Linked DNA regions of Arabidopsis thaliana. The protein of the gene in region 4 interacts with the protein of the main gene of each other region in a pairwise test. Each region holds a gene or a part of one and is shown on either strand. Other genes may lie near its edges. The genes, in order: AT1G64150, COR413-PM1, AT4G30660 and AT5G03345.

Region 1 (9,639 bases), on a different chromosome or scaffold from region 4:
CGTGAATCGGTTGTTCTTGGGGTTTTAATGAACACAAAGGGTTTAGTGGAGCTAATTGTTCTCAACATTGGCAAAGACAGAAAGGTACTTTCATCTATTCTAAAACAATATAATTACAAGCTGAAATGATTTTAATCAAATAGTTAAGGATTTAATTAGGATTTATGTAACGCAGGTTTTGAGCGATCAGACTTTTGCAATTATGGTTCTCATGGCGATATTCACAACATTCATCACAACGCCAATAGTCTTGGCGTTATACAAACCAAGCGAGACAACACAAACACATAGTAGCGTCAGCTACAAGAACCGCAAACATAGACGCAAGATTGAGAATGATGAAGAAGGCGAGAAGATGCAGCAGCTTAAGGTTTTGGTATGTCTTCAAAGCAGTAAAGATATTGATCCCATGATGAAAATAATGGAAGCTACTCGTGGAAGCAACGAAACCAAAGAAAGATTTTGCGTTTACGTTATGCATTTAACTCAACTCTCCGAGAGACCTTCTTCTATTCGAATGGTTCAAAAGGTGAGAAGCAACGGTTTGCCCTTTTGGAACAAGAAAAGAGAGAATTCTAGTGCCGTTACGGTCGCGTTCGAGGCGTCTAGTAAGCTAAGTAGCGTTTCGGTGCGTTCTGTGACCGCGATTTCACCGTTGTCAACAATTCATGAGGATATATGTAGCTCTGCTGATAGTAAATGCACAGCGTTTGTGATTTTGCCGTTCCATAAGCAATGGAGATCTCTGGAGAAAGAATTTGAAACGGTGAGATCGGAGTATCAGGGGATTAACAAAAGAGTTCTTGAGAATTCACCGTGTTCTGTTGGAATTTTGGTTGATCGTGGTCTCGGCGACAACAATTCTCCGGTAGCTTCGAGCAACTTTTCACTTTCCGTCAATGTTCTGTTCTTTGGCGGTTGCGATGATCGTGAAGCTTTGGTTTACGGGTTACGAATGGCTGAACATCCGGGCGTTAACTTGACCGTTGTGGTTATCTCTGGTCCGGAGAGCGCAAGGTTTGATAGGCTTGAAGCGCAAGAAACATCACTATGTTCCTTAGACGAGCAATTCCTTGCAGCAATCAAGAAAAGGGCCAATGCAGCTAGATTTGAAGAGAGGACGGTGAATTCAACGGAGGAAGTGGTTGAGATTATCCGCCAATTTTACGAGTGCGATATTTTATTGGTGGGAAAATCTTCCAAAGGACCTATGGTTTCAAGATTACCGGTTATGAAGATAGAGTGTCCAGAACTGGGACCGGTCGGAAACTTGATCGTGTCAAATGAGATTTCTACTTCAGTGTCTGTTTTGGTGGTTCAACAATACACCGGGAAAGGTCCTTCTGTGGTGGGTTCCGTCTCTGTCCCGGTGGTGGAGACGCCATGAAAATCTGGAAACAGAGGATTGTGTTTTCTTTACCTTGAAGCACAAACCATGATGGATAACACGAAACACTCTTATGTATCAACATGCATGAATCAAACGACTCCCCTTTTTATGAATTTGTAAGATAAAACATATTTATGAATTTGAGTCACTGATTATATCATATCCTTAAAACATATGATTTGATGGATAGATTATTCAAGTTGTTAAGAGTTCAAAATTTTGACCAAAGATATTTATATTTTGGTAAGTCGATCCTTTTTTCAAAGGAATACTTCATATAGTAATTTTAGATACTACAATTATATTGACTAGTGGTGTTGTAGAAATATTTTTTCCTACTCAATTTACTATCATCCCATGCATGTGTCCATTATAAAGCTAGATTGAAATTTCAGTAGTAATCAAAATCTGATATTGTATAACACTGTGTTTGGTTTGTCAAACAACACATGACATAACAAATCATATACTACATAATTATCAAACCACATATCGAACAGAAAACATAAAATTCCAATATAAGATTGTTACACACCTTTTAAACTTATTAAATTATCAAAAAGTTTCAAAGGACTCAGCCTCTTTCTCTTTCTCTCTGTCTCTGGAACCATTTAATGGTCTCTTTTAGTAACATTCATAGAGTTTGATATCCATCTTGACCCTAAAATACTTAGCACCTTCAAAGGTATCGGTCTCAAACGTAACAATCCCTCGAGACATGAAAAAATCACCTGTCCCTCCGACAACAGACAAATCTCTACTCTGCACCATCATGAGATCTGCTCCCATTATGTTCAACGTCCCTTTGTGTTGAGTCGAGTTGAACACAAGTGTGTACGCGAACCATGCATTGTAGTCATTCTTCATGTCGTAGAAATAGAACCCTTGAGCTCTTGCCACAGGTTCGGACTGAAAGTTTTTGTCTATGGTCATAGGATCGTCGAAGATAACGAGTTTCCCGAATTTGAAATTCCCGAGGCCCGGTGGGTTGGTAACTGCTGCAGAAGTCGCGTTTTGCACGTCGTCGACACCGAACATTATGTCGTGGTAGTAGAGGACAAAGTTTTTGCACGGTTTTGGTTGCGATTTGGATGGTTTTCTAGCTGATATGACGGTTTTTGTTAGAACAAGGAAAACGAATAAGAAGAGAAACGATTTCATTTGGCCTACCATATTGAAAATATGTGTGTTTTAAATGAAAATGTGAGAGTGGATAATGAGAGAGTGAGATTGACAAAGAAGGAGTGATGGGTTTATATACAACTTGGGTTACTAGTCCGTGTTAATATTAAGTATAAACAAAGTGGACTAGCTCACTTCTTCTCTCTTGTTTCTTGTTTATATATTTATTTATATTAGGTTGGTGATAAGTTTTGTTGATGTGTATAAAGTGAGATCATTTACCATGAATATCTGAAAGTTTTCCATGTAGGCGGCTCAATCACCTTTCAAAACTTTCCACAAAATGTTATAGTAGTGGAGAAATCGTTAAAAATAACACGAATGAAGTACTAAAACAAATTAGTATATATAATACATATTTGATTTAAGACTACATAAGCTTAAAGCTTGTACATACCTTAAGCTGGAGTTGCACGAATTCATCAATAATATCTAAAACAGCACAAATTCAAAAGCAGAAGAGATATTAAATCGGTTAAATATGCAATTCATGGCTTTAAATCATATATATTGAATCAATGAATAATCTACTTGTTCGTCTAAATTTAGGACATTAATAATATATATATGTATAGTCTTTCAGAACTACTAATATATGTAATTTGGCCTTTTAATGATGGGTTGGTGGAGCACTAATAATAAAAACTAAAGAGCATGAGGAGTTTTTCCAATAACTTATAATTTTACATGAATTTATGTCAAACTGCCACTGACCATTAGCATGATGCTAAAAAGTATCGTTATAGATTTTATTTTATTTTATTATATATAAATCATATCATTTTTTTCTATAACTAAAAGTAGAGTCATCTATTTTATTGGTAAAAGTCACGTTGAAAATTTTAATTTTAGTTTGTTAAGTACCCTATGGCTAATATAATTTGCATACCAAACATGTTTTTTTCTTAATGATAATCTAGTCCATTTGTAAAAGTAACCGTTTTATCATCAATTTTTTTTTAATTAAGCTAAGCTTTCGCCGACTTAATAGAACATTGGCATTCGGCAGCCAATAAAGCAAATCAAGTTGCAGAATTTCAAATGTGACATAACTATTCACATTTTAAAAAATAATATCGTGAAACAAAAGAAAAGCAGAACAATAGTAAACAAAAAGACAAATTGTTGAATGTTGACAAACTGTGAAGATGATAACAAACGAAGGAAAAGAAAAATACTAAAATAGTTTGTCCTAAAAAGCCTTATCTGCGAAGGCATTTTAACGAAAACGGGCCTATTGTTGGCCCAATATGATATATAGGCTCGAAACTCGTCACGTGTATTCAACAGTTGCTTGAGTTTTTCCCACACGTGCGCTGTTACTACGTGGACGCGCGCGAATAACTCTAGTTTTGTGGATTTTTTTCACTATCTTCTCAGAACAACACAGAGCCAAAGGTTTTTTGCTCGCAGTAAAGAAGAATCACACTGTGAAGAAGAAGAAGAAGCGAAATACAAAATCCTCAGGAAAGAAATGCTAAGTTTGAATCTCTCGGAGTCGCTTCGCATTCCATTCCAGAACCCTAGGCCTCCCAAATCCGATTTTTCTTCTACTTCTTCTTCTCCTTCCTCATCGTCGAGGAGATGCGTCTCCGCTTATCCAATTCCGATCGGGTTTTCGGTTCGTAATCAATACTTTTCTAGGTAAATTTGATAATTGATTGTTCATCGGCTTTTGAATTTGCTATGCGAATGGAATGTAGCCATGTAGGAGTTTACGTCTTTTCACAATTCTGTGCAGATGTTTGACTCAATTGCGTCGAAATGAATCTCAGCAGCTAGGTTTTCGATGCTTCCAACGAAACGATGCGGCTTGTTACCTCGAGGTGATTCTGATTTTTGTTACCTTCCACCAATCTTCTTTTGGTAGATTTTTGAATTTTTTTAGATGAGATTCTGTTAAGGCCTAGAGGAGATTTCTGAATTGCTTGTTCTGTGTGGATTTACCTAAAATGGTAATGTAGGTTTATTATAATGATGATTGATTTTAAGGTTGAACAATAGTGGAGAGAATGTGTTTAAATGCATAAGCTGAATAAGTTGTTGTGTTTGCTTTGTTCAGAAAGCTGAGTCTGAAGAGCATGATAGAAATCTTGATGTTCTGGTTGAGTCATCGATAGCTCACTCAAGAAGAGAGATTCAGAGAGTTCTTATGTTCTTGGCGGTATCAGGTTCGGTTGCATTACTAGGCACTGATCCAGCTTTTGCAGCTTCGTCAATTCCCAATGTGACACAGTCACTTGTCACTTCTTTTGGAGACCTTGGAGATATTAGCTCAGGTTTTGCTTCGGTTAGAGAATCTTCCTTTTGCACAGAACCGGGAACTATCTCTTCTTCAATTCCAGTACTCTTAAATTTTATTTTTTGCTCTGTCTATGTCTGTGTAGGCTTTCTTGCTTATCTTTTTCTCTGAACTTGGAGACAAGACTTTCTTCATTGCGGTATGATCTTGAGATGTTAATCTACGCTTTAGAAACTCTCTTTGTCATCAATGATTCTGTTGATTGTGATAAGTTTTCATGTTTGTTGGTTAGGCCCTTTTAGCAGCAAGGAACTCTGCTGCTACCGTATTCGTGGGGACTTTTGGCGCTCTAGGGTATGCTTTCTTTCTCAAACAGAGGCGTTATTATGGTCCGTGAATCTTGTCTGAAACCAAATGTTACTTTGAAATCTGTAGAGCAACGTTATAAAACTTGGTAATTTTGCAGGATAATGACGATAATATCTGTAGTGCTTGGACGCACTTTCCACTATGTCGATGAAGTTCTTCCATTCAGGTTTGAGTATTCTGGCAAAAATTATTAAGCAGGTTTAAGTTCCATGATGATGCTGAACGTCAATGCTTGAGAACACAGGTTTGGTGGAACCGATTTGCCTATAGATGATATTGCAGCAGTTTGTCTTCTGGTAAATCTCTTTATTCACCTTTCTTAGCAGAGTCGTACTAACCACGGGTGCTTGGTTTGGACCTTTCTTATGTCTAGCAAGTATATCTTCCTAAGTATATGATGTCTACCAAGTGAAACCAAATGTAGCTGTAACCCTTTTGTTATGAGTTTTGTTTTGGTTTTGGTTCAGTTTTCGATTCGAAGGGTCTTAAAATTGTCATGAAGTTTATAAGTTTCAGGCTCTATTGGGTTTGGATTTTTATGTAGAAAAAGTTACTGGTCTAACAATGAAGATGTTGATTGGTTTTCAAGCCTGGTTTATGGTTCATTTTGGGTTGGATCATATTGTACAGAGCATAGTCTTAACCATGAAACAGTATTAACCACTTTTGTTACATTTAGGTGTACTTCGGTGTTTCAACGTTATTAGATGCTGTTTCAGACGAGGGTAAAGCTGACGAAGAACAGAAAGAAGTAAAACCTCTTTAGCCTTTCGTTCACTCTTTGTATATTTCCATGCAACCTTCAAGAAGTCAATATTTATTTACTTATTATCTACAGGCAGAACTAGCGGTTTCAGAGCTTTCAGGTAATGGAGCCGGGATAGTAGCAGCCGCGAACACCATCATCAGCACTTTCGCATTGGTTTTTGTTGCGGAATGGGGTGACAAATCCTTCTTCTCAACAATTGGTGAGACTCAAAAAGTTCAAATTTCATGATAAATCAAAACCTCAGGTCCAAAACTCCAAAAGTGTATATAATCTTCTAATTCTTTGAAGCTCTTGCGGCTGCATCATCACCATTGGGTGTCATCGCTGGAGCGTTGGCGGGTCACGGTGCTGCGACTCTTGTGAGTTCTTTATCTTTTGATTGAAACTTCTATGTGAACACTTTAAAGATCCTAGCTATTTGGGCTAGTCAAAAGTATCTTTAAGTACTATTAAGACTTAAAACCCCATCAAAGAAAAGATTTTTTCAATTCTCCTGAAACTTGGAAGACACAAGAACTCTAACTTGCAGCTTGGTTTGTTAATCGCAGCTTGCAGTATTGGGCGGTTCTTTGCTAGGAAATTTCTTATCAGAGAAGGTAACTAATTCCGTTCTTTATCTATCTCTATATACATACACATAGACAGTATATACATGTTTATACTTTATATAGATCAAATCAATTTTAGAAAATCATTATTTCACAAAAGCACTTGAAGAATACTCCTTTTTCATTTATAGTGTCAGGTTTAGATTTTTGTTACATGTCTTAACCTGCATCCTGACCAAGTAAAAGGTTAAGAAGAATAAAACTTTAATGGTTGCATTAAAAAAGTAGAAAACAATTAATGAAATATGAAACAAATCCATGTCCTTAGATTATCATGAAAATTTAGGGTGAATATACTAAATGCCAGCATATCCTAGGATATATTCAGCTTTTATTACACAAAAACGAGATACTAATGGCAAATTACTAGCTTTAATCATGGTTTTAAAAGTTCCAAACCACCTTTTTGAGTTTTGTTTTAGTTAGTCAAAGGATATAATTTTTAATCTCGTATTGTGTTCTGAGATTTAACATGATAGAAAGAAAAGTGAGAGATTAAGGTTTTTATTCTTTGGGCAAGTGGCAAAAACAAGCTTCTATGTTCATTGATCTCAAGTCTTCCACATCACTTGGTATCTATTCCTCCCCAAAAAAGAGTCAAAATAACATCTTTTATTGTTTTTATTCTTTCCTATGTCCGATCCAATCTGTCAACAACGCGTTATTATTCCCAAACTAATGAAACTAGCCGCGGAAATAAAAATTAAATCACAAGTATATACTATAATTTTCTTTAGGTTTTAAGGTTCATGATTTATGTTTTATGGTTTAAGGCTTAGATTTTAGCTTTTATGACTTGATAGTAGGCTTACAATTTAATTTATAAAGATTTAAGACCATTTTTTTTATTGTTTTGATCTAAAGTTTAGACTATTTAAAAAACAATTTTGGGAGAGAGAGTGTGTTCTAAAGACGGAAATGTTTACATGTCGTTTGGTTCGAAACAGGCAATTGCTTATGTCGGAGGAGTTCTGTTTCTCGTGTTTGCTGCTGTGACGGTGGCTGAGATCGTTACGTAAGTACCGAAAAATATATTTTTTCTATACCTTCTTGTACAAACATATTCAAGTTTAATTTTATTTTTGTAAAATATTAGTATATTGTTTATTTTCAACTGTTTTTCTGCAAATTATAATGTGGATTTTACAGTTCTCATACGTTAACGTTTACTACCACATTTGGTTTTTAGTGGTTAGAATTTACTTAGATGTCAAGATAGGTAATATGTTATGTTTTGAAAGATGCGTCCAAACATAACACGTGTTCGGGACTGGAAAGAATATAAAGACTAAAAAGAGGTTGAACATGGTAGAGCATATTCTTTTCTATATTCTTCATGTACAAATGTGTATTTAAATACTATAATCGTGCATGTGAATTAAAATTATATGAAAAAGTTATAAATTTATGAGTTCCACTCACAAAGGCCAAAGGAGTTGTTACACCGACATGAGAAATAGGAAGATAATACCATCTCCTTTCTTTTATAGTAAGGTGTAAATTGTTTTGGTATTTTTTTTTTAAATGGTTTTAGTTTCAATATTAAGCAAGGGCCAAGGTGATTTTTCTTTTTTAAAAAGGATTACAGAAGTAAAGCTATATATTGTGCAAAATAAGCATGCACTGATGCACCTACATAAATAGTAGTTTGGATATATTGTAAAAATAACTTTAAAAATCATTGGTTTTGAAAAGGCATATTTCAAAGTTTCTGAAGACACAAATTTTTTAAAATTAATTGACCGAAATATCTTGCTTAATAATACCTTTTCTACACAATGACTACACCTATATAATATTGGAGCATTTTTTTGTTCTTGATAAATAATAGTATATCACAGTGACATAAACTTCAGCAGTTATCTTCAAAAATATTAATTTGTTCTACAATATACACCTTTAACTCAATATTTAGTGATTTGATTTTAAAGTTGGGGGAAATTTCACCTGCATGTTGAATTACGCAAAGCGATTATTTACCTGACATATAAATGGTATTTAACGTACTTTTACGAAATTGAATACTACTAGTAGTTTTGAAGTAAATAGAAATCTAAAAAAGGAATTAGAGAATCTAAATAATACAATTGACCTAGAAAAAGTAAAAACAAAATCTAACGAAATTGCTGCATTTGCAAACGTGAACCACTCTTTTATCGTACGTGGACCCTTTTTAGGTTTCCTACTAAGGACAGCGATAGCCAAAAAAAAACCAAGAAACGACGTCGGTTTATATATTTTTGAAAAATTAAAAACAAAAATCGCAAAAAATTACGCTGTCGTAGATTTGTAGAAGACCTTCCCGAGGGGAATCGTGCGGGACCCATAAAAGACGCATGTGGGGACCACAGTCATAATCACAAAACCAAATTGAACGGTGACGAGCCGCTGCTGCTTCAGCCGCCACGCACCAAATTACCCCTTCGTTTTTTCTTTGCTGCTGATGCTTCCAACCGCCACAAACAATCTTGGCTTCGTTTAAACCATACGTATCCTAATTAAACTCTTAATATTAATATCATTATCTGTACTCAAATCTGCATAACAGAGTACAATGTTATTGATAAAAAAATACCATTAATCAAACTTAATATAAATTTATGGTAGGATAAATTTGATTATCAGGAAGTGGAGGACATATCATGTTTGGCAGTCAAATACTTCATTTTATTTTTGATTAAATTTAGCTGGTGCGTAAAAATGAATTTATGTGTTCTCTGTTTAATGAATTGATTAATGTGTTTGTAGCTTATACTTATGATCAATAGTCAGTCAATACAAAAACATAAAAAAAATATTAAAAGGGTATAAGTGGCACGTGCAAAAGATTCTGATGGCACGTGTGGCAAACCAGTCGTCTTACCCTTGGTTTTTTTATCCTCCTCACCTCTCCTTTCAGATTCGATATCATTTCCACTCCCTTCAAAAAAAAAAGCCTCTCTCTCTCCTCTCCTATTTATACCTCTCTCGATCTCTCTCGCCGGCGCTGCAAATCCCTAGGTTTTTCAATCACACCCAAAACATTTGTAGAGCCCCAAGTACTCAATTTCGCTTATTGATAGAGAGAGAGAGAGATTGA
Region 2 (7,276 bases), on a different chromosome or scaffold from region 4:
ATTGGAAGACATACCTTAGGAGGAAGAGTTTAATCGGAGGTAAGAGTTAAGTTATGTAGAGAAGAGAGAACCTAATTCTAATTGGTGTGGAAGTCAATCCCACAAAATTTATGCGTAAGAAAAGCCATATTTACGATGAGTATCAAAAAGAGAAGAAGAGGTGATTTTTTCTCTCTTCAACATTATAACAAAAAACATTGTCTATCTATTAGAAATGTGGCCTAACTTAACCCAAAAGCTAGCTCAAGAGTTAAGAATTGTGACATCGTTTATATAATACTTAAAAATCTTAATCCCAAACAATGTGAAAAATTCTGATACTATCCGATCATGTATCAACCATGCAAAGAAAGAGAGTACTCGGGAGTTGCATAAGAGAACCATATATATGTCTTTGGGCCAATAACCCCACGTATATGTTTCTTTCAGTTCATAGTTAGCTAAGTTTATGCAGGAATCGGCTGTTTTGTCAGATTTTTTTACCCAGTTTTTCTCCAAACCAGAGTATAAAACTGTGAGAGTTCAACTCGAAAGTAAAAGAAACTTTTAAAATGTCAACTTCAATACTAAGACGGATACTCGACCCGACCCGGAAACCCAAACCCGATGCAATCCTCTCAATCTCTCTCCTCACTACCGTCTCTTCTCCGCCGTCTCCGCCATCAGATCCTCTAATTTCCGACGCCGTCTCAATCCTAACACACCACCGCTCCAAATCCCGTTGGTCCACTCTCCGATCACTCCAGCCTTCAGGCTTCACACCTTCTCAATTCTCCGAAATCACTCTCTGCCTCCGCAACAATCCTCACCTCTCTCTCCGTTTCTTCCTCTTCACTCGCCGTTACTCTCTCTGCTCTCACGACACACACTCCTGCTCAACTCTCATCCACATCCTCTCTCGATCTCGTCTCAAAAGCCACGCTAGTGAAATCATACGTCTCGCTCTCCGTCTCGCCGCCACCGACGAAGACGAAGACAGAGTCTTGAAAGTGTTCCGTTCGTTGATTAAGAGTTATAATCGATGTGGCTCTGCTCCGTTTGTATTCGATTTGTTGATAAAATCTTGTCTTGATTCGAAAGAGATTGATGGAGCTGTGATGGTTATGAGAAAGTTAAGGTCTAGAGGAATCAATGCACAGATTAGTACTTGTAATGCTTTGATCACAGAGGTTTCTAGGCGTAGAGGTGCTTCTAATGGATATAAGATGTATAGAGAAGTTTTTGGTTTAGATGATGTTAGTGTTGATGAAGCTAAAAAGATGATAGGTAAGATTAAGCCAAATGCGACCACTTTTAATTCGATGATGGTGAGTTTTTATAGAGAAGGTGAGACTGAGATGGTGGAGAGGATATGGAGAGAAATGGAGGAGGAAGTTGGATGTTCTCCGAATGTTTATAGCTATAATGTTTTGATGGAGGCGTATTGTGCGCGAGGTTTGATGAGTGAAGCGGAGAAGGTATGGGAAGAGATGAAGGTGAGAGGAGTGGTTTATGATATTGTGGCTTATAACACTATGATTGGTGGGCTTTGTAGTAACTTTGAAGTTGTGAAAGCGAAGGAGCTTTTTCGAGATATGGGGTTGAAGGGGATTGAGTGTACTTGTTTGACGTATGAGCATCTTGTTAACGGGTATTGTAAAGCGGGGGATGTTGATTCGGGTTTGGTTGTTTATAGGGAGATGAAAAGGAAAGGTTTTGAGGCAGATGGTTTAACAATTGAAGCGTTAGTTGAAGGGCTATGTGATGATAGGGATGGACAGAGAGTTGTTGAAGCTGCGGATATCGTGAAGGATGCGGTGAGAGAAGCAATGTTTTATCCTAGTCGGAATTGTTATGAGTTGTTGGTAAAGAGGTTGTGTGAAGATGGGAAGATGGATAGAGCATTGAACATTCAGGCTGAGATGGTTGGGAAAGGATTTAAGCCGAGTCAAGAGACGTATAGAGCTTTTATCGACGGGTATGGAATAGTAGGTGATGAGGAAACATCAGCATTGTTGGCCATAGAAATGGCTGAATCACTCAAGCTAAGAGCAGAAGAAGAAAGCTAGAAAAGTTGAGCTTCGTTGGTAAGCTGGTGAAGCAAAGATGACAAAACCACATAGAAACCAATTGGTGACACAATGTGGACAAGTTTTGTGGTGGTACGAGAAAGCGGTAAGAAGTGGTACACATTGTAAGATGATACAACGTTACCCATTAAAGCTATAATGATGAAAGAGGAGATTTATTCCACACTAACACCTCATGATGATATCTTATTGCTGAAGCAATTCTTATTCAAATCACATTCATTGATAGAGTTACGAGGAGAGACAGATCGTACAAAGCAATCACTCTTACATGAAAAAAAAAAGACAAATGGAAAAAGAAACTGAAGAGTTAACTTAAAAGATAAGAGCCCAGACGGGGAAGACGACGAGACAGATGATCCCGACGGTGTTGGAGATACCATTGGCTTTAGTAAATGCATTTCTGAATCCACCTGAAGCTCTAATGTGTTCTTGAAGCAAGTAACATCCAATACCTAAACATATAGCTAAACCAATCCAACTGTCTCTGAATGTGCCAGCAATCAAATTTGGTGCCACCACGGCGAGAAGAACCAAAGCCACCGGTAATTCCAGGTATTCTAATAACACAAACAACAGAGATAAGCCAAATCAGAATCAAAGTCTTGTTGCTTGTAATGGAGAGTGAATGAAAAAAAGTAGACAAACCTCTGGCGTGTTTAGGAAAGAAGAGTTGTACAACAACAGCTACGAAAGCAATCCATTTACCAATTTCTCCTCTGTCAAAGTTTCAGACACAAGTTAGGGTTTAGGAACATAATGATAAGTAAAGAAAAAGTCTCTGGCTTTTGTTGTGTTATACCTGAAAATACCAAAGATCAAGGAAGGAAGACTGAAGAAGATGTAAGGAATGAGAAGTGATGTGAGCATATTCGTCTTCCAATTGGTTCGATCCAACACCAACAAGTATCTGCATTTATTACATCAAAACCTCATCAAGATCAACACAAGAAACGGATAGAGGAAAGAGACATAGAAACAGAGAGAATGGTTACATGGCGGCGATTGAAGCAACCCATTCGAGGACAGAGGTACCAAAGCCTAAACCAGTGAGTGTGAAGGCGTGTGTAGCTAGGTTCTTAGCAGCGATAGTGAGCTCGTTGAAATCGGATCCGATCATGGCCTTAAGGGTTCCATGGTCATTCCTCAACGACTTCATAGGCATCTTTTCTTGCCGGAGAAGAGAGAACTATGAATAATTGATGTGAGAAGAGAAGAGAGTAAAGAGTAGATAGATGGTGATGAATGTGTTGGAAGACTTTGGTTATAAAGATATTACAAGTGACTCGATGGATACGTTTACGCCACGTGGCAGTTATGAAAATAGTTTAATTTGGACGAACTAGATATTTTATCTATATTAACAATGATATAGTATAGTTTACTTAATAAGCTAATCCGATTTCTGACATAGACCTTAGACACATGTCGACACCAACTTCTCACACATGAACGTTCTAATAAGTTTGCTTTAACAAATGTAATTGGTGGACGTAAGAAACAATGGGACGAGCCAGCTGTCCAGTTGTATTTTTTTTTAATGATAATATTTATTACAATGCAAATAATTAGATATGTTATGGTGGAATCTCTTAACATGGATATATTAAGAATGGGAAAAATCAACATCTAAATCATAGGGTATGTCGGTATACATTAAAGTCAGAGATCGTCAAATCCAACTAAATAATAACAATATGCTTCAAGCAGATTTATTATATTTAGCCAATAAGTTGTATGGATTCGTTGAAGTTTTCATTCTATAATTAGACCATATGGTTTTACAGTTTTCTACTGTAAATGAATTCACAAAAATCTAAATTAAAAAAAAATAGAAAAATACTTAATTATAAAGAGATACTAGTTCGATAATCATATATGTAACTAAGTATAAATAAAACCAAATAGAAAATGTGCAAGTAAATTGTTGAGCTAAAAAATCAGATGAGATGGATCAAAATCCAATCAGTTAATGGTTACAAAAAAAAAAAAAAACAGAGTGGCAGAAGTTATGGTTTTTAATATGATTATGTGATGTCGGCAGAAGATTTGTCTTGAGTAGGACCAGCCAAATAAAAATAAATTTTGTTTTACCATATTAAAGTTGTTGTTGACGGAAAGAAAAAAATGTAACATGCTCCAGAATCGTAACAAGTAAGAGAGTATCGAACTCTCATTACGGTAACGAAATACAGATTCATCCCTAGCATAACTACATAAGCGACATAAGCTATGAATCAGAGTCCAAAATAAAATTAGAATTTTTCGTTTTTCAGTTCTGATTTTTTTTAAAGATTTAAGCCTAAAACCTAAAATGTTTAATAACTCATGAGAGTTGAACCCAATTTTTTCTTTTTTCTTTTTCGTTTTGATGATTTTAGTTTTTAATCAGTATTTGTGATCTTTCCATATTATATTTATGTCGTTTATGATAATTAAAAATAAAACTAAAATTTTACTTGGAGTAAAACCCTCAATATTGTTGGATCGGTCCTGAATATGACCTCACTAGTTGTTACTCGGTTAAAGAGTATCACGTTAAATAAGCTGCTGAGTGCTGACACTACGCTCCACAATATCCATATTAAATAATAGAAACTTAGTTTAACCAGAACGGGAAAAATGTCATTTAAATCACGACTTCGCAATTTGTGGTGCTTTAAACATAAACTTTGTACTTTGTGATTAAAATCATCAATTACGTGTTGACTTCAGATAAAATCACTAACTTTCGTTGACAGAGCCAAATTAGTCACAACATCAACTGAATAAACAGAGCAATTAGAAGATGTGATTTATCCGTTAATGAGACCGTTTAAGAGCAAAACGACGTCGTTTGCAATTGAAACAAAAACAGGAAAAATGCCATATAAATCATGACTTCGCCATTTGCAGTGCTTTAAAGCATGAACTTTGTGCCTTGCAATTCACTTTGATTTCAAAATACAGGAGTGAATTCGAAGAAGAAAAGAAGAAGAGATTTGAGGATCTAGGGTTTCTTATTTCTGAATTGGGGATTTTTGTTTCAATTGCAAACGACGTCGTTTTACTCTTAATCGTACTTATTAACGGATAAATCACAGCGTTAATGAAAATCTAGAATGGCCTGTAAAAATTCTCCCATATATCTAATTTTGAAATAATTTTGCTGGAATAGAGTTTAGTTGATAAGATACACTTCAAGTGTTTTGTGTTGAAGGAAAGAACTATATGATCGTCATGTGGATCAAAAGCCCAAAGCCCAAAGCCCAAACCTTTTGTAACCGTTGTTTCCGTCTGGGCCAAAAGCCGAAAGCTCATTTGGTATCAATAAAAAAAAAAAAAAATCGTTATCTGTATTGAATATTGATGATATCTTCCAGCAATCTCATTCATGATTGGCCACTTCAAAATCTTTCAATCAAATTTTAGTTTTGGGTTCCCTCAGAATTCCTACGTTATTAGAAAAATTATAATCATTTCTTGTTTTATTTCTTACTGAATGATGCGAATGTTCCTAATTACAGAGTGAATAGAAAGTTCCATCTTCATATAAATCCCGGTTAATAATAATTGAACACTATTGATTAAAGTAATAAAAATATGTTTCTCAAACACATTACTTTCACAGGTTTACAAGGAAACTTAAAAACATGGTCTGCACAAACAAAATCTGATATATAGACATACTACATGTAGTTTCTAGATATATATATACACATCACCAAAGAAGAGATCTAGAAGTAGTTGGGTATGGAAAGATCACCAAGGAACAAAACGGTCCATGAGAAGACAAACAGTGAGCTCAGACATAGTTACAGCTTCATTTTTCTCTCTAATCTTTTGGTTAATAAGTCCTCTTTCTTCTTCTGATCCTTGTTGTTGTTTGGACACAACAGATGTTGAATTCTTCCTTTGCATCAATGGATTTCTAGTGTTTATCTTCTCACTCATCTTCTTCATCTCTCCCACCCAAAGCTCCATAGCTTTTGCCATTCTTTCCTTTTGTTGATCTTAATATCTCATTATGAACGAGAGAGAGAGAGAGAGAGATGCATGTGAGCTTTATGTAGACAAAGAATAGGGCCTTTTGGTCTTTTGGACTTGCAAAACCATGACAAGTTTGATTGGTGTTTTCAAATAATTGTGTTATTGACACGAAAGTGGACAATCTGTTTTACACTTTGGCACCGTCCACGGTCCAACTATAGAAGAGTTGTCTTTTTGGTATATATATATGTACATAGTTTCTAAATTCTAATGGCTGGAAAAATCATCAAAATCCAAAAAATATCTCTTTGGCCTTCTTGAATTTTCCATATGCACATACAGTTTCAAATCATTGAAACCAAAAAATATCTCTTTCACCTTCTTGAATTTTCCACGTGTTCAAATAAATAAAAAATTCCACGTTTTCAAATACTTTATGATATAGTATAAATATATTTAGTGTTGAATCATATCATCATCCGACCTTAGCTCAGTTGGTAGAGCGGAAGACTGTAGTTGTTTAAAACAGATAATCTTTAGGTCGCTGGTTCGATTCCGGCAGGTCGGATCTTCTTTTTCCTATTTTTGACGAATTCATATCTTTGTGATATTTGTAGTGACGTGTCGTTAATATCTATATTGCTTTATTCGTTGCATTTGGATATGGTCTGGCCCAAGCGAATCCTATTGTCTTATCTTATTCTTTTTTTCCCAACCCCACTTGCCAATAGTTAGATGTATCAAATTCAAAGTCCTTCTCAAATAATAATAACTTTAACCAGCAGTTTACCGCGGGCAATCGGTTTATTTGGTTCTTATACTAAATATTTGAATAAATTTAATATCTTAAATTTATAAATATAAATTTCTAGTGATTAGTGAAGAATCGTAATATATAATTTGAATATTATTGATTATTGATTTCGTGATTGAATATAGTATTTTCAGGGATGGAATGTGATCATACTTTGATTTCAAAAACGACATAGATTCCTTATTTTTGTTGAACATTTTAGATTGAAGGAAATTAATTTTATTGAACGGTTTAGATTGAATCGGATCATGTAAAGTTTAGGAGATTGTTAAGACCAAATTATCCTTAATGATTTTAAATAGCAAAGAACAAAATCCAAAATTGAAATCTAAATTAAGGCCAAATTAGACAAAATTTCAATTTGTACTTCCCTTTTAATAATAAAGAGATAGTTAGATATATATGAGTTTTCAACTCTTATCAT
Region 3 (6,841 bases), on a different chromosome or scaffold from region 4:
CAGATCTCGGTAAAGCCAAACAACTTGTGTTATTTTAGTGTCTTCCTTTTGGTAGAGTCTATAGAACTTTATTAGTTTGATTTGTGTTTTGGTTGTAGAGAGAAGAAGAGGAGCCGGAAGTGAATGGTGAACATATGGTCGCGGAAGCAATGAAGAATGCAATGCTTGATAACAGGATCAGTGATCTACATGTTGAAAGAAAGTTACCCATTTGCGGAGATGTGGAGAAAGAGTTAAATAGAGCAGTGAAGAGGAAGGTTACATGGCAAGATCCAGTGGCTTTAAGTGTTTAGGGTGTTTAGTATGAAATAGGATTTGAGATAATGATTTGTCGTCCCAATATGCACATATGCTTATACAAGTATATAGATATAAGATTTGATTTGATGACTTAGAAAGTCATTACTTCCATATGTCCAACATAGGAAAACCTTTGAATAATAACTCTTGTCATAAGTGACTACATTATCCTTTTAATCCAATTTGGTAATTAGGGAATCTCATTTGTTGTTGGATGTTCTTACTCATTCTCTTAATCAAAGTCGAGGAGCAGAACCGTTTTGCTCCAACTTCAAACTGACAGAACATTAATATAAACTGGATATCAAAATTGGAAAGGTTACTAATGACCAATAAAAAAAAGCTCTGTTTTGTAATAGGTAAAGAGCATGCTTGATTATAGAAGCTGAAAAAGTCTCAGCATTTTTGTTTCCATTGACTACATTTATTCCATTGACGATAAAAAAAAGTCTCAACATTTCAAGTCTATTCGTACTCAAAACGACGAAGCGTTCTTCAATCCTATGGAAGTCAACGGCGGGGAAGGAAAGGTGGAGATGGGATCGGGACTCTACCCTGACTGGTCTGAGTTGACTCGAGAATGTCTTCTTGACATCTTCTCACGGCTAAGCCAGGAACAAAGATGGATTGGACCGATGCTGGTCAGCAAGAACTGGATGAACGCATGCTATGACCCGACACTAAACACCATCTTCGACCTCGAAACTCGGTTTCTGTCGTTCCCTGAGTCGATCAACTGGTGGACTCCCGAGTTTGAGGATAAAGTCGATTCATTTCTCCGATCTGTTGTTGATCGGAGTGAAGGAGGTCTCACAGAGATTCGGATCAGGCATTGTACAGAACGCTCTCTATCTTACGCCGCCGAGAGGTACGTATCACTTTTCGTGATAATTCTCAGTTTTAGCTTGAGTCCATAGAGGTTAATCGCAGAGTTTTGATAGAATGAATAAAATGTCATGTGGTTTCCATTTGCAGGTGCCCTAATCTAGAGGTACTTTGGATAAAGAACTGCCCAAATGTTACAGATGCGTCAATGGAGAAGATAGCTATGAACTGTCCAAATCTTAGAGAACTTGATATAAGCTACTCTTATGGCATAACTCACGAGTCTCTGATAACATTGGGGAGGAGTTGCCAAAATTTAAAGATTCTGAAACGGAATTTGTTGCCCCGGCTAGGTCCTAGCCTGCCAACAATCGTCGCGCCACTAGACTATCTGGCTACATTTCCTAGATATGGGAATATAGAGGCTAGAATAATTGGGAAATACATGACACAGCTCAAGCATTTGGAGATTCGATACTCCACATTGACTGCTAGAGGACTTGACTCGGTTTGTAAGGGATGTTCGAATCTAGAGTACATGGACTTACGCGGATGTATATCATTGACCAGAAGTGATATAAACACTAATACGTCGGGCTTGAAGAATTTGACGGAGATCATTAAGCCGGATTTCAATCCTCCGATTGCTGTTTTACGCGTTCCAAGACCTGGTAATCCAAGAGAGGAATGATGGTGTTTGGTTTTTGTTGGACGCACGTTTTGATCAACTTGTTGACCGGTTTTTATGCTCAGAGCTTCCTCTATGGCATTTTTTACTCTGTTCTTATCTATGTTTGAATTCCTAAAACAATGTGAAACCCTTTTTCTTTGTGAGTTTGTCTTGTCACTAAATTCCCAACTTTTGGTGTGTTCTATTAATATTCTTCATTGCTTTAGGTCTGAATCATAGTGTTAAGTGAAATAAACATTGAGGGAAATGGGTTAAGTAAATGTACTGAGATAGCTTGCCATCTAAGCAAGCAACAGAAAAATTGGGCTAATCAAAGTCCGGTCCCGGAAACAATAGAAGACAGGCCTTCTAGGCCAACTTAGTCACGTGATCCATTAACCGTACGATAAGGGGGCGAGTCAGAGTAATAATATCCCACAATGATCAGGTGTGTTGTGTTGCACCATACCTTGCGTGTTCTTGAGATGAAAATATCTAAAGAGTGGGGGCAAGGTAAGGTAATTTTACGAGATGTCGGCATGTAAGCTGAAGCCGTACGATTTATATACCAAACAAATAAACGGTGCAGATCTCGTAGTTGACTTGGTAGCGCCAAAAATAAAAAGCCGTGGATTGCTCTTTTAATTGGATCTCTGTGCTACCGACTACTTTCAGTGTTCTCTTCTTCTCCACTAATTCAGATCACATTCAAGAATCTTCTTCACTCACATCTCTGAAAAAATGGCGAGCAACATGGAAGTTTTCTGCGAGATCTTAATCGCGATCCTTCTTCCACCTCTTGGAGTTTGTCTCAAACGTGGCTGTTGCACTGTAAGTTATTGGAATTTTGGAATCATGAATCTTGAGATTTAGTTTAGAAAATCTGACTCTTAGTTTTTTTGCAGGTAGAGTTCTTGATTTGCTTGGTGCTGACAATCTTAGGATACATCCCAGGGATAATTTATGCACTATACGTGATCGTGTTTCAAAACCGTGAAGGCTCTACCGAACTTGGAGCTCCACTTAACTCAGCTTGATCTGTTTTGGTCCATTACACGGATCAATATGTTGTTGAAACTGTTTTACTTATCATGTACCAAATAATAAGTTGCTTTGCAATTTTTATGTATTGAAGATTTGAGAACATTGTCGCGTTATTGATACATTGCTTATCTTTTTGATGTATAACTTGTTGGCTTTTGCAAAGTCAGGCTACGGACCTTCCTAAGAGTTAATGTATCAAATTCTTTGCCAAGATTGTATTTACCGGAGTTTAAACTTCGCAAAATGCGGAAGCATTTTTGAGTTTGAAAGGATTTTGTATGATGCCAACATATATTATGGTATAGATTATGCTAAAAAAGATAGATTTCTGTTACTTTGGCAAATAATGACAATGATTGTGAGTTGAGGAATCAAAGTCTCAGTAATACGACACCGTTTGAGTCAAAACGTTTCTGTCCAATTCCAGTCTGGTCCCGGGATTAATAAAATAGACAGGCCTTCCCAGGCCCATTTAGTCACATGGATGAGTCAGAGACTAAAATATCTAAAAGTGATCTGATGTGATAAGGGTGCACCATATCGTTCGTTGTGATTCACGAGATGTAATCTAAAGCCGTACGATTTAAATATCAATAAATGAACGGTGCAGATCTCGCACATTGACTTTGTAGTGGAAACAAAATAAAACGTGGACTGATCTCTCTTCATTGGTACTCTCAACTCTGTGACAGCAAGTTTCAGTGTTTTGTCTTTTAAAAAAACTCTTAAAGCTTCTTCTTCTCTCATCTCATCTCTCTGAAAAAATGCCGAGCAACTGTGAGATTCTGTGCGAGATCATTATCGCGATCCTTCTTCCTCCTCTCGGAGTTTGCTTCAGGAAAGGATGCTGCACTGTAAGTTCTCTCTCTCTCTCTTTCGAATTCCTCAATTTTGAAGAATCCTGGAACTTCTTATAGAGACTGTAATTTTGGATTGATTATAATGTAATTTGGTATGAGTAATGAAGGGAGTGCTTAATCTATGATATGAATCGCAGAAATTCTCTGGATTGGATCAATTTATGTTTGATTCATTGATTCCTGAAAGCTTGGATAATCATTTGAAGAAAGTTGAATTTTTTTTATGTGTGGTTTGTTTTGGCAGGTGGAGTTTTTGATATGCCTGGTGTTGACGATCTTAGGCTATGTCCCGGGGATAATATATGCGATTTACGTGATTGTGTTTCAGCACCGTGAAGAGTACTTTGATGAATACAGACGCCCCATCTACTCTGCTTGATTTCTGTTTCTTTGGAACTGTGTTGCTTTGACTTGTACCAATAAAGTTGCTTTGCAGTTGTTTTCAGAGATTTGAAAACGTTTGTGTGTCATTTATATGCAATATTGAAAGTTTCTTCTGTTATCAGCTTATGAACCCTCCTGCTATGTGTGCTTATGCATCAGGTTGTTGACATAGTGTTTTCGCAAGGCACAAATTAAATTATTAAATTGAAAGGTTAAAAAAAAAAAGAGTTTAATTAGAAGGCGAAGAACATCAACAGAATTGAGCTCGCGACCGTGGAACCGTAGCGCAATGCCATCGAGAGACAAGGTCGACTAGTAGCGGATGATCCACCCGCACCATGACCACTACTGGGGACACGACGGTGGCTACGACCACCACCACGACTACCACCACCAACACCACCAAAACGAGCTTTCCTCATGAAAACTCGAAGAGAGTCATGATGATCCAACGGATTGGAGTCACCGTGTTGTGCAAGTCTTCGTTCACTCTCCTTATTTTCAGATGAAATTGGCAAAGGCTGAGAGAGTAACAATAGGAGTACAATCAATGAACAAGAAAATGCCAGTGAAGTCCTCATTTCTGTTTTATCAAATAATATGTGTGTATATACATGTATCTGATCGAAAAAAATCAGAAATATGTGTTAATTTTACAATGATGGGACGCATTATGTGTGCAAAAGAATTAGTATTTATAATATCGCTAGGCTTAGGTAACGAAACGACCATGGCTTAAACATGGGCTACTTCTTCTTTGAAATGATGTTTAATACTATTATTGTATTTAACTATTGGGATACTTATTACTTATTAGCAAAGAAACTTTCCTTTTGCCAGCAACAAAGAAAGTTTCCGAGAGGCAAAATCTAATTACGTAAGGGAGGATCATGATTAATTAAGCCTAATGGGTAACAGACCCAAATGTTATTATTTATCGTTTTCTTATGTGAAATGGAATTTAGTGAATTTCCAACGTAAGGCAAATAGTGGTCGAAGGGAAATGGTGCCTAGTAGTTAGTTCTAATTGTAACTGAATTTGATTGAATTCATGTAGTAGATGTTTTAAAGAGGTTGTTGTTAATGGTAAGAATAAACAAAGGAACAATGTTCACTATACCTGCATTCTCTCTCCACTCAGTCTTCAAAATAATTGATCGTGAGATTAAGAACACTATCACCGCCAAAAAAATCAAAGGGGTCACTTCTGAAATCTTATGGCTGCGATAAACTGGCCCGAGATTTTCCCACATAAGTTTGTTTTCTTGTTTTTTACTCTTTTTTTTTTTTGGCCAAGTACACAATTGTATAGGTTTAACCAAAGTGTAAGTTCTGATTATTCATATTAATGATATTTACAATTTAGCAAACAAACAAAAAAATTCCAAAAATAGTCGCATGTAGTTGTGTGTCAATGATAAATTGTCTTAGACAATCAGTTATTATTCATTAAACAAAACAACTGGAACCACAATATTAGACAAACCAGATCAGACAACTTTTCAAACATTGAAGACTTACAAACTCAATCTTTGCCGGAAAAGAAAACAAATCGTTAAACTCGATCGGAAATACAAACTCAAACAAACACGCAAATTCAAGCCATTTGACAAATAAAATAAAAAAGTCGCAACCTGTTATCTTGGATTAAAATGCGGCGAGCAATAAAACAAAGGAACTCACAACAGTAGATACATAGGTAAATGGGTTAGAGAGAAGGGTTCGAGTGGCTGCTGATTTGTCCTTCTTCTTCTTGCTCTTGCTTTTGCTTTTCCTCACGAAGACTCGAAGATGGTCGTGGTGATGACCGGATGACCCTTCCTTGTTCTCTTCATGTTCAACTAGTTCCCGACCCAAAGGAGTGATCGTATGGCGTCCGCATGAAATTATGAGGGATTGAGAAAGTAACAAGAGGGAGATGATCAAAAACCAACCAAGAAGAGAAGAAGTTCTCATCTTTTTCTTATTCTTTAAACAAAATTGAATAGAAAATATATTTATCTTGTGTTTTTTGAACTTATGAGTGTGTCTGTGTATTTATAGATTTGTGTGAAAGTAGTTGTACCATACTCTCTTCTTCGTGCACGCAACCAAACAGATGAGCTCTTCCTTAATTAACAACTAGGCAGTGATATAATCATCAAGACAGCTCATAACTGTTTTTTCTTTTGGAAAACTTCTTACTTACACAAGAGACATTTTGACACGATCCAGGATCATATGACTCTGTCAACGTATTAAAATCTCAAATTTTATATGATTGACTACGTATGAAAAATGGGAAATATCCTTAAATGTCATTTTTCAATGTATAAATTAGTGTGATATTTTTTAAATATCTATTTTGAAATGCTCATCTGTTCCCATTAAAGTAAACCACCAACATGATAAAATACAATAATAATAATAATGATTATTTGACAACTACTTGATTATTTAAATTAAACTTTTCATTCCAAGACTATCTATAAAGAGTACAATTCAACATATTCTTTTCTTTTTCCTCATCTTGAACTCTTCCAAATGAATAATGAACTAAGGCACCAAAAGAAAAAGCACAAACCAAGAAAAAGAAAACAGAGTAATAAAACTGAATCTAATTTCGATTACAAGTATGATATTAACTCTTAACATTTTTCAATAAATGATTACAAGAAAGATCTCACCTGTTTTTTCCGGCGAGCGTGGGGTCTTAAACTGATCAAAACATGTATTGAGAAGAAAGAAACCACACAAACTACACCAAACCACGGCAAGC
Region 4 (7,414 bases):
CTCTATATTGGTATATGTTTATCTAACCAAACAATGTATAATCATGTATACAGGCTATCCACTCTCCATCCCATATTACAGGCTGTTCGAATACAAATTCAACGGTCAACTTTTAGAGATTAAAAAAATAAAGTGTGACAAGACAATCTCAAGCTGTCCGTAGCTTGCGGATCGTGCCTAAGAGTTTTTCTTAGACTAATAATGAAGTTAATGAGGGTTACATTGGCGTTGGCCTATGCAACTTGCACCTTTTTCTATATTAAGTTGTGGGCCACAACGACTCATGGGCCATATTTAAAGCCTCAACTACACTGCTCAATCCGTTTTTGCTCCTTTTTGCAAAAGAACCCTCCATTTTCTATTTTTTATTGTAAGTTCACAATATTTATTTGTTGAGAAAATATGAACCTTTGATCTCTCTAAAAAATTTGAACTTTTTAACCAATTGTGCAAGTATTTTTGGGTTAAACTACAATATTACGATTACTATTTAAAAATCGTTCAAACGAAAAATCAGAGATCGATTTACTAAGAAATCAATGGTAAGATTGTTGAACATTTCATATGTGTGATAAACTGATGAGAATTTGGGATGCAAAGCAAATTACTTTTTCCTGAGTGAATTTTCTTTGAAAATATCTCTCGTAGAAAAATAAACAGCAATCGATCTTTGCATTGCATTGGTCCTTTTCTAGACCAATTACACCGAAGAAACACAAGGTTGTCTATGTTCCTCTTCAATACTCTCTAAGTAAATTTCTATACGACGTAGTGTTGTCTATGTGGTGGGTAAAGAATTAAAGAACCCACTAGATTTTCCTTATCCTTTTGACGTAGTGTTTTCTATTCATTCATCCACATAATGATACCGTATACTATGCTTTCACATCGCAAAAGACAAGTACAATCTAATATACGAGATATGCGTACACTGTACACATACTCTGCTGAATGAGTGTATTCACAACAGTGTCTTCACGCGTTTACTTGACAAAATGTCATGTGCTGATGTGACCATTCGATGATTTTGTTTTAATTTTTTTTTCTTTCCATTATTAACAATCACGTTTTTTATTGGTCGAGTTCAATTTATGGAAAGGATAAGGAAATCTTGTAGGTGATGCGTTTACTTGACATCATACAATATGACGTCATGTACATGGGCTTATGTTTTACTCTTTATAAATCACCACGTTAATAATTTCACTCTTTCAAACTCTCACTTGAGTAAACAGCAGTTACGAAAACGCAATGAAGATTCATAAACTCTGTTTTCTTGCTCTGCTCTTAGCTCACACCACTTCCGCCGTCAACCTCAACCTCAACCTCAAAACCTCAGAGTTGGTCTTCCTTGGAGACGCTGAGCTCGGTCCTGCTTCTGATGGCGTCAGCCGCTCCGGAGCTCTCTCCATGACACGAGACGAGAACCCATTCTCTCACGGCCAAAGTCTTTGGTCCACTCCAGTCCCTTTCAAGCCTTCTTCAAACTCTTCTTCTCCTTATCCATTTGAAACTTCTTTCACTTTCTCCATCTCTACTCGCATCAAACCCGCCCCTGGTCACGGCCTTGCTTTTGTTGTCGTCCCTTCCATTGAAAGTGACGGTCCTGGACCCGCTGGATACCTCGGGATATTCAACAAAACCAACAATGGCAACCCCAAAAACCACATCTTTGCTGTCGAATTCGACGTTTTTCAGGACAAAGGTTTTGGAGACATTAATGATAACCATGTCGGGATTAATATCAACTCTGTTACTTCCGTTGTTGCTGAGAAAGCTGGTTATTGGGTTCAGACAGGAATTGGGAAAATGAAACACTGGTCGTTTAAAGAGTTCAAGCTGAGTAATGGAGAGAGGTACAAGGCTTGGATTGAGTATAGAAACTCCAAGGTTACAGTTACTCTCGCGCCAGAAACCGTTAAGAAACCTAAGAAGCCTTTGATCGTTGCCCATTTAGATCTCTCTAAGGTTTTTCTTCAAAATATGTACCCCGGTTTTTCTGGTGCCATGGGCCGTGGCGTTGAACGTCATGACATTTGGAGTTGGACCTTCCAGAACAGTGCCAAGAGAATCTAAACCGGTTCTGTTCGGTTATGCTTTTTCTAATGTATCAGAAAGTTGTAACCGGAATGAATAAAATAGCAAATTTTGTTGTTTTAATTGTTTGTATTTGACTATTTACACAGTATCCTATCCTGCTAGGACCTGTGCACTTGTTGTTATGTTGATTCTTCATTCTAAAAGATTCTAAGTAGAGACCTGACACACAGAAACATCACAAGACTCGTTTCAAGAATCAAAAATTGATGCAAAGCAGAGTAGTTACTTAGAGTAGAATTTCAATGGAAACATCTCATAACATTACACAGATCAGTGTTTGACTAAGCAGTGTGATAAAAATTCAAAACTTCATGTCGATCTGCGGTGGGAACAGTCTGCCACGGTGATTGAATATCATGAAATCCGAATTATCTGGTAAAAACACCGCCCTGCAAATTTTTTGAAAGAAACCAGTTAACAGGAGATATTCACTTTATCTAGCAAAAGCCAAACTCAAAACCAATTCAAGAACCTAATGTACAAAAAGGTAGGGGAGAGGCTGCGACATAGAAGGAACCAAAGTGGGTCTAAAGAGCCAATGAAACAAATATAAACTGATTGAATTAGCCAGGAGCAGAACTGGTTAAAGCTCTTGAAACCCATAATCGTAACTGGACCAAATATAAACTAGAAAATGTCCCTTTGAATGTCCTGCATTTTAGAAAACCTTAGCTGCACAAAGTATTAAAGAAACATCAATGTTTGACCTAGAACATCTCTAGACGACAGTTTCTTATCAATAAACATGAGTCTTTGGTGGTCATTCAATCATCGGGAAATATAATAACTACCAAATTTCCATGTTTCAGATTGATAAACACTGATGCACAACAGAGAGTTAAAGAGACATCAAAACTAGACCCTCGAAACATCTCTAGAGCACAAGTTCTTTGAATCAATTGATTAACAACACATCCGTAAACCTTCTCAGTCAAAAGAAAACATATTCACTAGAAACACCCATGATTAAACTGAATAATTGAACCAAATCTAGCCAGAAGATGCTTCTATAAGACCCGTAGTAACTCTACACCAAGTTCAACAAAGTACGAACAGAGAAAAATTCAATAGTAAAAACACTCACTAGATAACATGAATTCAGATTGATTAACACTGATGCAAAACAGAGAGTTCGAGAGAAACATGATCACAAACCTGTTTTCATCAGAATCCGGATGGATCGAGAGAAATTTACCAGGGAAAGTCAAAGCAGCCCACATACACAGAGCTAGTCCAATGATCAACTCCAGAATAACCTTAAATAAATCCAATCATGATTCATATAAAAGCATAATCATTGCTGATATAATTCAAACACAATTGAGGAAAAGAGAAACCGTTATCATTATATACTCACATTAATCGGTGGTCGAGAAAACTCTTCCTCCATAATCTTCAACAATCCTCTATCTGAAATAAACAAGAGAAACCCAAATCAAGATCCTATCTCGAAAATTAAAGTAGATCTGACTCAATTGGAACTGGAATTGGATTGGGAAGAGTAGACATACATTGGATTGTTGAATAAGCGGCATGAGAAAGAATAAGAACGCCGAAAACTCCAACTAAGAACCCCAAATTCATCTTTAGAAGTTCTCTTTTTTAATTTTCTTCTTCTCTAAGTTGATTCCCGATCTGGATTTTCTCGTCGAGTATTCTCCGTCGAGAATCGAACTAGAATAGAAGACGATCAGTGGAGTTTAAAACGGCATGTAGTTATAATATCGCAAATCTCAAAGTGAAAACGGCGCAACGTCTAATATCGAAGAGACTAACAACGGCGCGTAGTTCTAGATTGATGATATCCTAGATTCCTATTAATCTTTTGTAACCCAAACTTTTTTTTAAGTAACTAATATTTTTAATTAGATGAAAGTTCAGTTAGTTTGATAACTTTTTTACAACAATAAGGGTTTATCTTTTGGGAAAATAATTATTTTTTCGTATAATAAATAATTATGAATATTTATTTAGAATTTCATATTGATGATATATTCATATGCAAACAAAAATTTCTGCAATTATTGAATTGAATCGTATGTTGATAACTTCGTATAAAAAAAACGGAAATCTATTTTAGAACAAAGAAATCAAATGGTAAGATATTAAATTTCTATTTATAAAAAAGTAAGAAAAACATGTAGCTTGCTTTGGTACCGCTACCTAAGAACCTTCTATTCCTTTCTTGTGTTTGCTAAAACCAGAAAGTAAAACTGTTATCCTCACCTCTCTTTTACTTTTATTTTCAACTTTCCCCCATAACGTTTTTAATAAACATTTACGTACCCTCGCCACACTATTAAAATAAGTTTAAAATTACATCAAATTTTTTAATTCTTCATATAGGTAGATTTTTGTTTTGATTCTCGATAAATCATATAATAATATAAATTAATTGATATGATGTTAAGGGAACATGGGTGTATTTATCACAACACCTAGTTTTTGGAACTTTTCAAGATAAACTTAAAAGTTAAGGGTCGCTTATTTTTCCAACAAGAAGGAAATCACAGAGCGTATAAAATCCCGAGTTCAGCTCCCTTGAGATCCCATTCATCATCATCATCATCATCACCAATCGATCTCTCTAGAAACAAATTTCCCAACTTCCTTCTTAGAGCTCTCTTGTCAGTTTAAGCTATCATTATGTCAAACGAACCGGAATCCTCCGACTCGTAAGTACTTAGATCTTTGATTTTTGTTTTCCGATCATAAAGTTTCGATTTTTTTACTTGGGTTTTTCGATATTGAGAATAGGGTTTTTTAGTTTGATCTCATCTGAAAGCTGATTTTGTTTGTCTTCCTGGGGTATTTGTTTCAGGAAAACTAAGAAGGATTTCAGTACTGCGATTCTAGAGAGGAAGAAGTCTCCAAACCGACTTGTTGTCGATGAAGCTATTAACGATGACAACTCTGTTGTCTCTCTCCATCCTACTACCATGGAAAAACTCCAGCTTTTCCGAGGCGATACAATTCTCATCAAGGTTAGGTTTTGTTCCTTATGTCACTATGTTAGGGTGTTTTGAGTTTAGACTTGGTTTGGATCGTCTGTGTCTTGACTGTATATCACGAGCATGTTGTAAACATATTCAGTTATGTTTTTTACTTTGTCTGATCTTGTAAACATATTCAGTTAGGGTACAACTTTTTTGTCTGAAGTTTTTTTTTTTGAGTTTAGAATTGGTTTGGATTGTTCTTTTTATCTCTGTGATTACTTACTTGATTGGGGTTTTGGATTTTCAGGGTAAGAAGAGGAAGGACACTGTATGCATTGCCCTCGCTGATGAAACATGTGAGGAACCCAAGATCAGAATGAATAAGGTTGTAAGGTCTAACTTGAGGGTTAGGCTGGGAGATGTTATTTCTGTTCACCAATGCCCAGATGTCAAGTATGGAAAGCGTGTTCACATCTTGCCTGTTGATGATACAGTTGAAGGCGTTACTGGAAACCTCTTTGATGCTTACCTGAAACGTAAGTTTGCTTTAATCTTTTGATTCTCTCTTTCATATCATAGTCTAGCTTGTCTTTTGGAGTTCGTGTTTTCTAAACTTATATTGTTTTTTTCACCAGCTTACTTTCTGGAGGCGTACCGTCCAGTGAGGAAGGGAGATCTTTTCCTAGTGAGAGGAGGAATGAGGAGTGTGGAGTTCAAAGTGATCGAGACTGATCCTGCTGAGTACTGTGTGGTGGCTCCAGATACAGAGATTTTCTGTGAGGGTGAACCAGTTAAGAGGGAGGACGAAGAAAGGCTTGATGAGGTTGGTTATGACGATGTTGGTGGTGTCAGGAAACAGATGGCTCAGATTAGGGAATTGGTTGAACTTCCCTTGAGGCATCCACAACTCTTTAAATCAATTGGTGTGAAGCCACCAAAGGGAATTCTGCTTTACGGACCTCCTGGATCCGGGAAGACTCTTATTGCTCGTGCTGTGGCTAATGAAACCGGAGCATTCTTCTTCTGTATCAATGGACCGGAAATCATGTCGAAACTAGCTGGTGAGAGTGAGAGCAACCTCAGGAAAGCATTTGAGGAGGCTGAGAAGAATGCCCCGTCTATCATATTCATTGATGAGATTGACTCTATTGCACCAAAAAGAGAGAAGACGAATGGTGAGGTTGAGAGGAGGATTGTCTCTCAGCTCCTTACGCTTATGGATGGACTAAAATCACGTGCCCATGTTATTGTTATGGGAGCAACAAATCGTCCCAACAGTATTGATCCGGCTTTGAGAAGGTTTGGAAGATTCGACAGGGAAATTGATATCGGTGTTCCTGATGAAATTGGACGTCTTGAAGTTCTTAGGATCCACACGAAGAACATGAAGCTAGCTGAAGATGTTGATCTAGAAAGAATCTCCAAGGACACGCATGGATATGTTGGAGCTGATCTTGCAGCTCTATGCACTGAAGCTGCCCTTCAATGTATCAGAGAGAAGATGGATGTGATTGACTTGGAAGATGACTCAATTGACGCCGAAATCCTCAATTCCATGGCTGTGTCTAATGAACACTTCCACACTGCTCTTGGAAACAGCAACCCATCCGCCCTTCGTGAAACTGTTGTGGAGGTTCCAAATGTCTCCTGGGAGGATATTGGAGGTCTCGAGAATGTTAAGAGAGAGCTTCAGGAGACTGTTCAATACCCTGTGGAGCATCCAGAGAAATTCGAGAAGTTTGGTATGTCTCCATCAAAGGGAGTTCTTTTCTACGGTCCTCCTGGATGTGGTAAAACCCTGTTAGCCAAAGCTATAGCAAACGAGTGCCAAGCAAACTTCATCAGTGTCAAGGGACCCGAGCTTCTCACAATGTGGTTTGGAGAAAGTGAAGCCAACGTCCGAGAAATCTTTGACAAGGCTCGTCAATCTGCTCCTTGTGTTCTGTTTTTCGATGAGCTAGACTCCATTGCTACTCAGAGAGGGAACAGCGCGGGTGATGCCGGCGGTGCAGCTGACAGAGTGTTGAATCAGCTTTTGACAGAAATGGATGGAATGAATGCAAAGAAGACGGTATTCATTATTGGAGCAACTAACAGACCGGATATCATAGATTCAGCTCTTCTTCGACCTGGAAGACTCGACCAGCTTATCTACATTCCTCTACCTGATGAAGATTCCCGTCTCAATATCTTTAAGGCCTGCTTGAGAAAATCTCCCGTCGCTAAAGATGTAGATGTTACTGCACTCGCAAAGTACACTCAGGGATTCAGTGGTGCTGATATCACCGAGATCTGCCAGAGAGCTTGCAAGTACGCCATCAGAGAAAACATCGAAAAGGTCAGTGATTTGATTACCTCCTGAAACATGTGATTAAGGA

The links.
Region 1: the proteins of AT5G03345 (region 4) and AT1G64150 interact in a protein complementation assay, tested with the Arabidopsis thaliana proteins (one large-scale study listed by BioGRID).
Region 2: the proteins of AT5G03345 (region 4) and COR413-PM1 interact in a protein complementation assay, tested with the Arabidopsis thaliana proteins (one large-scale study listed by BioGRID).
Region 3: the proteins of AT5G03345 (region 4) and AT4G30660 interact in a protein complementation assay, tested with the Arabidopsis thaliana proteins (one large-scale study listed by BioGRID).

What each region holds. Positions count from the first base shown.
Region 1 is NC_003070.9:23,806,987-23,816,625, reverse strand, and holds AT1G64150 (Uncharacterized protein family (UPF0016)), read left to right. Parts: upstream 1-3,900; 5' UTR 3,901-4,046; coding exon 4,047-4,216; intron 4,217-4,313; coding exon 4,314-4,398; intron 4,399-4,634; coding exon 4,635-4,862; intron 4,863-4,959; coding exon 4,960-5,013; intron 5,014-5,106; coding exon 5,107-5,168; intron 5,169-5,280; coding exon 5,281-5,349; intron 5,350-5,427; coding exon 5,428-5,479; intron 5,480-5,862; coding exon 5,863-5,934; intron 5,935-6,021; coding exon 6,022-6,151; intron 6,152-6,240; coding exon 6,241-6,311; intron 6,312-6,500; coding exon 6,501-6,548; intron 6,549-7,507; coding exon 7,508-7,579; 3' UTR 7,580-7,791; downstream 7,792-9,639. Other genes in the region: CHX16 (cation/H+ exchanger 16), read left to right, coding at 1-84, 176-1,387; DIR5 (Disease resistance-responsive (dirigent-like protein) family protein), read right to left, coding at 2,015-2,563. UniProt on the Arabidopsis thaliana protein: Mn(2+)/H(+) exchanger, which transport Mn(2+)from the chloroplast stroma into the acidic thylakoid lumen. Might be a chloroplast-localized Ca(2+)/H(+) antiporter. Regulates Ca(2+), Mn(2+) and pH homeostasis. Required for chloroplast development.
Region 2 is NC_003071.7:6,946,121-6,953,396, reverse strand, and holds COR413-PM1 (cold regulated 413 plasma membrane 1), read right to left. Parts: upstream 3,547-7,276; 5' UTR 3,235-3,546; coding exon 3,065-3,234; intron 2,980-3,064; coding exon 2,872-2,979; intron 2,789-2,871; coding exon 2,718-2,788; intron 2,630-2,717; coding exon 2,385-2,629; 3' UTR 2,372-2,384; coding exon of another isoform or gene 2,337-2,371; 3' UTR 2,205-2,336; downstream 1-2,204. Other genes in the region: AT2G15980 (Tetratricopeptide repeat (TPR)-like superfamily protein), read left to right, coding at 552-2,048; AT2G15960 (stress-induced protein), read right to left, coding at 5,811-6,044.
Region 3 is NC_003075.7:14,951,867-14,958,707, forward strand, and holds AT4G30660 (Low temperature and salt responsive protein family), read left to right. Parts: upstream 1-3,512; 5' UTR 3,513-3,603; coding exon 3,604-3,693; exon of another isoform or gene 3,694-3,943; coding exon 3,944-4,078; 3' UTR 4,079-4,134; exon of another isoform or gene 4,135-4,294; 3' UTR 4,295-4,305; downstream 4,306-6,841. Other genes in the region: AT4G30630 (uncharacterized protein), read left to right, coding at 1-9, 99-293; AT4G30640 (RNI-like superfamily protein), read left to right, coding at 804-1,168, 1,276-1,816; AT4G30650 (Low temperature and salt responsive protein family), read left to right, coding at 2,537-2,626, 2,701-2,832; AT4G30662 (uncharacterized protein), read right to left, coding at 4,317-4,664; AT4G30670 (Putative membrane lipoprotein), read right to left, coding at 5,731-6,039; AT4G30680 (Initiation factor eIF-4 gamma, MA3), read right to left, coding at 6,821-6,841.
Region 4 is NC_003076.8:810,466-817,879, reverse strand, and holds AT5G03345 (membrane magnesium transporter-like protein), read right to left. Parts: upstream 3,796-7,414; 5' UTR 3,685-3,795; coding exon 3,608-3,684; intron 3,511-3,607; coding exon of another isoform or gene 3,507-3,510; coding exon 3,458-3,506; intron 3,357-3,457; coding exon 3,165-3,356; 3' UTR 2,573-3,164; intron 2,490-2,572; coding exon of another isoform or gene 2,402-2,489; 3' UTR 2,261-2,401; downstream 1-2,260. Other genes in the region: AT5G03350 (Legume lectin family protein), read left to right, coding at 1,252-2,076; AtCDC48C (ATPase, AAA-type, CDC48 protein), read left to right, coding at 4,747-4,775, 4,922-5,084, 5,344-5,572, 5,672-7,374. UniProt on the Arabidopsis thaliana protein: Mediates Mg(2+) transport.